Lonchura striata: one gene and its partner. The protein of the gene in region 1 interacts with the protein of each later gene in a pairwise test. Links are inferred from orthologs where the notes say so. Each region holds a gene or a part of one and is shown in the gene's direction. Other genes may lie near its edges.

Region 1 (3,702 bases):
GACCGCTCCGCCCCGCCGGGCCGGATCCCACCGCCCGCCGCCGCTCACCCGCAGGTCCAGCTCGGTGCGGTGCAGCCCGAGGCGGCCCAGCCCCACGGCCAGATCGTGGATGCAGAGCGCGCCGTCGCGATTCACGTCGAGCTTCTGGAACAAGGCGCGGAGACGGCGGTCCTGCTCGGAGGCCTCGCAGACCGACCGCCCGCAGGACCCCGCGTTCCCCCCGCCGCCGCCGCCGCTCTCCACCGCAGATCCGTGCGGGGACCCGCATGGGCAGAGAACGCCGCTGACCACCGGGGAGGCGAGAGAGCGCCGCGCCCCCGGCATGGCCGCGCCGACACCGACCGCCCCTCACGCCCGCGGCACCGGCAAATGGCGCCGCTTCCGCCTTCGCGCCACGCGCCGCCAGCGCCACGTGACGCCCCGCGCCGGCCAATCACAGCGAGCGACACGCCCTGGGACACGCCCCGCGGCGCCCACCCGGAGCGGCGGGTCGCGACGTCAGAGGGGACGCCCCCGTCCGCACCAATGGGAAGGGAGCGCCGCGGTGTCTGGGGTGATGCACAGGGAGCGGGGCGGGCGCGCGGGCCGGGCCGCGATTGGCTGCAGCCCGCGGGAAGGCGGTGCTGGGCAGAACGCGGCCAATCAGAGCCGGAGCCGCCGGGCAGTTTGAGCTGGACGGACGGCGCGCGCACCCGGTAGGTTGGAAAGCAGTGCGCGCTCTGGGGTGATGGACAGCAGCAGCACCCAATGGGATCGGAGCGAGGAAATCCACGGGCGGGCCCAACCCCTCGCCGGCCCCACGCAGGCCCAGTGCCCTGAGACCAGCGGCGGGGCGGGGCCGCCTCCTGTCTGCCTGATGGACAGGGCTGTTGACCAATAGTACTGCGGTAATACAGACGGGAGGCGGGCAACTCGTGTGACGGACAGGCGGGCGAGCCAATCAGGCGTGGCAGGAAGAGGGGCCGATTCTGGAAGCCATTACGCCAGTGCCGCAGGGCGGGGGCCGTTGCGCGGGGCTGCCGGGCGGGCGCCGTACGCAATTTGCGTATCGTTGGCGGTGCCAAAGGGGGAGCGGGGGGGACCGACCCCTCCGGGCCCTGAGGGGCCTCGGGGCCCCCCTGTTGTCCCCGGCCCCGGGGGTGGGGGGGCCCTGCCGCCCCTCGGCCGTCCCCAGCGCCCCCCAGGCCCCCTCAGGTGTGACCCCGTGCCCCGTCCCCGCTGCCCCCCATGGCCATGGCGTCGCCGCCGGCGCCCCCAGCCAAGAAGCGGAAGATGAACTTCTCGGAGCGGGAGGTGGAGATCATCGTGGAGGAGCTGGAGCGGGGCAAGCACCTCCTCGTCAACCACTTCAACGCGGGCGTGCCGCTGGCCGCCAAGGCCGCCGCCTGGCACGACATCCTGCGCCGCGTCAACGCCGTCGCCACCTGCCACCGCGAGCTGCCCGAGGTCAAGAAGAAGTGGTCCGACCTCAAGACCGAGGTGCGGCGCAAAGTGGCCCAAGTGCGGGCTGCCATGGAAGGGGGAGGCGAGAGCCAGAACGGCGGCGGCAACGGGCCCGAGGGCGAGGACCCGGCGGGCGGCGCGGCCGCCCCGGTGATCCTCACCCCCATGCAGCAGCGCATCTGCAACCTGCTGGGAGAGGCCACCATCATCAGCCTGCCGAGCGGCGACTGCGGCGTGGGTGACGGGAGCGACATCCCCATCACCGCCTCGGCCACCACGGTCACCCTGACCCAGAGTGAGTGCTGCGCCCGCCGGAACGCTCTGCGCTGCACTGCAGGGCCAGCGAAGGCCCTGACACCCCCCTGCGAGGACGCCCCGAGCTTGTGTGGGGACAGAACCACAGAGTGGTTTCGGTTGGAAAGGACCTTAAAGAGCACCCAGTTCCAGCCCCCTGCCATGGGCAGAGACACCTTTTGCTAGAGCAGGTTGCTGCATCCAGCCTGGCCTTGAACATTTCCAGGGATAGGGTGCCCACGGGTTCTTTGGGCGGAGATCTCGAAACCCCAACAGAAAGAAATCCCCACATCTCTGTCATGAAATGCTCCTCCCACTCTGCCCTTGTGGTGTAGGAGTGGCCACAGGACATGAAGGTACTGAAAGTCAGCTTTGACAGCTGGACTCAGCCTTGAGGATAAGGGAATCAAGGATCCTGTGCACCTTGGGAAATTCTTCAGTCCCTCTCTGGGAACAAAAGCACAGGGAAAAACTTCTTCAGGGCTGATTTTCCAGCGTGCAGTTTCCCAAGGTGCAGCTCTTCTGCCAACAGGGGCCATTCAGGGTCTTTGCTGTTGTGTCAGTCAGTTAATGCTGTTTGGAAAGATTGTTCTAAACTGGAGATTGAGAAATTATATTGTCTAGACAGATAAGGCATTCCCTGTTCCTTTGGATTGTACAGCCCAGAAGGAAGCTCGAGTGAGGGTGGAGTAGACTTAAATAGGTCATTTTGTGCATTGCTGGCCGTTGTATGTTATCTCGCTGAACAGGCCGTATTCCTGTGGTATTCACTGAATAGTCCTGTAGATAAAAATCCTGTATCACAGCTACTCCTGACTCCCTTTCTGTCCTTTGTTCTCAGTTCCTGCAGAGACAACCTACCACAGTCTGGAGGACGGGGTTGTGGAGTACTGCACCACGGAAGCCCCCACCACCGTCACTGCGGAGGCGCCCTTGGAGATGATGGCCCACCAACACGAGGTGTCCGCCAAGCCCCAGGAGCTGAAAAGCCGCATTGCCCTGAACTCAGCCAAGCTCCTGCAGGAGCAGCGAGTAACCAACCTGCACGTGAAGGAGATTGCCCAGCACCTGGAGCAGCAGAATGACTTGCTGCAGATGATTCGCCGCTCGCAGGAGGTGCAGGCATGTGCCCAGGAGCGGCAGGCACAGGCCATGGAGGGGACGCAGGCAGCGCTGAGTGCCCTCATCCAGGTCCTCCGCCCCATGATTAAGGACTTCCGTCGATTTTTGCAGAGCAATACACCCAGCCCATCGGTCACCACTGACCCTGGCCAGACAGGGCAGCAAGATGGTATGATCCAGTGAAAGAAACAGTGATGGGAGGGGAGCTTTGGATTCGTGTTAGGAAAAATTTCCTCCCTGAAAGGGTTGCCAAGCCCTGGCACAGGCTGCCCAGGGCAGTGGTGGAGTCACCACTCCTGGAGGGATTTAAAAATGTATAGATATGGCACTTGGGAACATGGGTTAGTGGTGGATGTGGCAGTGCTGGGGAAACAATTGAACTCAATGATCTCAAAGTCTGTGATTCTGTGGGATATCTGCCATGCCAAAAACCTACCCATGCTGGCAGAGGACACTTGGGAGCAAGGGGTGCTGCCTCTTGTCAGTGTGAATGGCTCCCTTGGAGTTTGGCTGAGTCTAGACAGCTTTCTCTGCTAATCTTGTGCTAATCTGCCTTTTCAGACTCTCATTCTGAGCCATAGCAGGATGTGTAATAAGACAGCAACTTAACATGAATTGCTTTAGTTCCTCAAACAATAGATTTATTTTTTTAAGTTATTTTTTAATTTCTGTTTGGAAAAAATCTGTCCTAAGTATTTTACCTCTCTTTTTGTCTCTCTCTCGAGATCTATAGCCTTTAACTGACTTCTAACGTGGAGAGTTTTGTCGGGATATCAGTGCTGCAGCTGCCAAGGTACAGTGATCGTGAACCCACAGTGCAAACAGTGAATGCATTTCTGGCTC
Region 2 (2,794 bases), on another chromosome or scaffold:
GGCCGCTGTCGGAGGCGGGCGGGCGGGGGCAGGGGGCGGCCCGGGGGGACCTTTTCGGAGCAGGTTTGTTAACCAAAGCAGGTGCTAAAAACCAATAAGCCCGGAACAAACGCGGTCCCCCACGGGAGCCGGGACAATTGTTTCCATTTAATAAATATTTTCCCCACGGGCGTTTCGCGGGAGGCAGGCAATTATTCAAAGCAAGCCGGGACGCGGGCCGGCTCCCGGGGTTAAGCGGGGCTGCGGAGCGGGGAAGGCGGGGGCTGGGGAAGCGAGAGAGCGGCCGGGAGCGCGGGGAGGACGGGGGCGCGGGGGGACGCGGACAGCGGCGGGCGCACGGCGGAGCGCGGCGCTCGCAGCCCCGACGGCGGCGGCGGCGGAGCCTGGAGGGCGCCGGGACCGGCCCCGCTCCGCGCACCCCAGGGATGGGGGAGGATGAGGAAGATGGGGACGACCCCCTTCTCCATCCCCCTTCCTCCACAGCTGCTATTAGCGCAGCAACTCACAAAAGCCGTCCTTTTAATCCGCGCGTTAGAAGGCGGTGGGGGGCGGGGGGTTCCTCCTGTCCCCTCCTTCCTTCCTCCTCCTCCCTCCTGTGTCCCCTCCCCTCCTCTTCCTCTCGCCCTTCCTCTCTCCCTCTCTTTTTAAGCGGGCCCCCTCCGCGCTGATTGGGCGCCCGGCCGCTCTGTGACCGCCCTGCCGCTATGTCAGCCTGCCCGCCGCAGCCCCGCGCCTTTGAACTGCCCCGCACCGCCCCGCGTCCCCACCGCCGGCCCGGTGCTGCGCCCGGCGGCTCCCCGCCCGCCTAGTGCCCGCCGGGCCCCGCGGGCCTCCGCTCCGCGCCGCTCCGCGCAGCCCCGCGCCCCGCCCCGGCACGGCTCCCGCCGGGGACGGCCTTGCCGGAGGACCTGTGATGATCAGCTGAGCCCGCTCCTGCCGCTCCTCCGGCTCCCCCGGCCTTCTCCCGCCGTTCCTCCTCCTCCTCCTCCTCCTCGTCCTCCTGGTCCTGCCGCCGCCGTCCGGCGCCCCCAGAGCCGCCCGCCCGCCCGCCCGCCCGGCCGAAGCATGTCCAAGCCCAGCGACCACATCAAGCGCCCCATGAACGCCTTCATGGTGTGGTCCCGCGGCCAACGGCGCAAGATGGCCCAGGAGAACCCCAAAATGCACAACTCGGAGATTAGCAAGCGGCTGGGCGCGGAGTGGAAGTTGCTCTCCGAGGCGGAGAAGCGCCCGTACATCGACGAGGCCAAGCGGCTGCGGGCGCAGCACATGAAGGAGCATCCCGACTACAAGTACCGGCCCCGGCGCAAGCCCAAGAACCTGCTGAAAAAGGACAGGTATGTCTTCCCTTTGCCTTACCTCGGGGAAACAGATCCCTTAAAGGCCGCCGGGCTTCCCGTGGGGGCCACTGACTCGCTGCTGAGCTCCCCGGAGAAGGCCAGGGCTTTCCTGCCTCCCACCTCAGCACCTTACTCCTTACTTGACCCCAGCCAGTTCAGCTCCAGCGCCATTCAGAAGATGACTGAGGTTCCTCACACCTTAGCCACCAGCACCCTGCCCTACGCCTCCACCTTGGGATACCAGAACGGGGCGTTCGGCAGCTTGAGCTGCCCCAGCCAACACACCCACACTCACCCCTCGCCAACTAACCCGGGCTATGTCGTGCCATGTAACTGTACCGCTTGGTCGGCTTCCAGTTTGCAACCTCCAGTTGCCTACATATTATTCCCTGGCATGACCAAGACTGGGATAGACCCCTATTCTTCAGCACACGCGACTGCCATGTAACACCCACCCACCCGCACCCCCACAGGCGTGTGTGTGTGCGTGTGTCCCCCACCCCGGCCGGCAGCTGGAACTGGGAATCCTCCGTGTGTGCATGTACATAAAACCTGCAGGAGCAAAAGGCCGCCCGAACCAGGACTCTGCCGCCCGCCGCCGGGCCGGGACAGACGCGGACGCTGCCTCGGAGATGCTCTCGCCTAAAGCTCGCCACGAGAGCTGGCCCCAGGCTCGGGGGGGATCTGCAATCGCGGGGGCAGATAGGAGCCCGGCACTTGTAAGAGTTGTAAATGTGTTTAAAAACAGAAAAGCAAAGCGAACCTTGAACTGCCCTTTCGGGACAAAGCGGGGAGAAAAAGACAAAAAAAAAAAAAAAAAAAAAAAAAAAAAAGAGACAGGCGGTTTCGATTTTTATTTATTCTCTTAATGTCTATGAGTTCTCCAGGGTCTCATGTCACTTGGACTTGACTTTGGGAAGTACCGGTCTTACTCTGATTTTATTTTTTCCCCCTCGTTGTTTTCCTTTTGCACATTGAAAAACGAGATCAGCTGTGTTATATATATATAAATATATATATATTTTGCCACCACGTATTACTAGGTAAAATTGCTTTTCATGTCAGAAAAAAGGCTCTTCAAAGTTAAAAAAGAAAAAAAAAAGACAAAAAAAAAAGAAGGGGAGAAACACTTATATTTAAAACCTATGATAGTGTTTGCTTAATTTAAAACAGATAGTCCTTAAATTTGTGTGATCCAGTGAGACTAGATCTAAGTTTACTTTAGACAGAGCGTCAGGTATGAAGTCAGGCAGTAGAATTGTAAAAAAATTAATACTACTACTACTACTACTAACGAAATACCGAATAAAAACCGATGGCAATTTAAATATGTTTTCACAATGTCTTGGGCAAGAAGAAACAGAAACTAAGATGTATCCGGCAGGATTTTACCTCGTTAAACCTTTTCATTTGTTGAACAAAGACGTTTTGAATAAAGACAATCTGTCATCAAA

What was found.
Region 2: the proteins of NAIF1 (region 1) and SOX14 interact in binary tests that used the Homo sapiens proteins (3 or more experiments, as listed by UniProt). The two-hybrid records come from large-scale screens. The link is inferred for Lonchura striata from reciprocal best matches to the Homo sapiens genes NAIF1 and SOX14.

What each region holds. Positions count from the first base shown.
Region 1 is NC_134624.1:787,997-791,698, reverse strand, and holds NAIF1 (nuclear apoptosis-inducing factor 1), read left to right. Parts: upstream 1-1,216; 5' UTR 1,217-1,227; coding exon 1,228-1,738; intron 1,739-2,578; coding exon 2,579-3,042; downstream 3,043-3,702. Other genes in the region: mitochondrial adenyl nucleotide antiporter SLC25A25, read right to left, coding at 49-324. UniProt on the Homo sapiens protein: Induces apoptosis.
Region 2 is NC_134612.1:5,765,097-5,767,890, forward strand, and holds SOX14 (transcription factor SOX-14), read left to right. Parts: upstream 1-1,065; coding exon 1,066-1,788; 3' UTR 1,789-2,162; downstream 2,163-2,794. UniProt on the Homo sapiens protein: Acts as a negative regulator of transcription.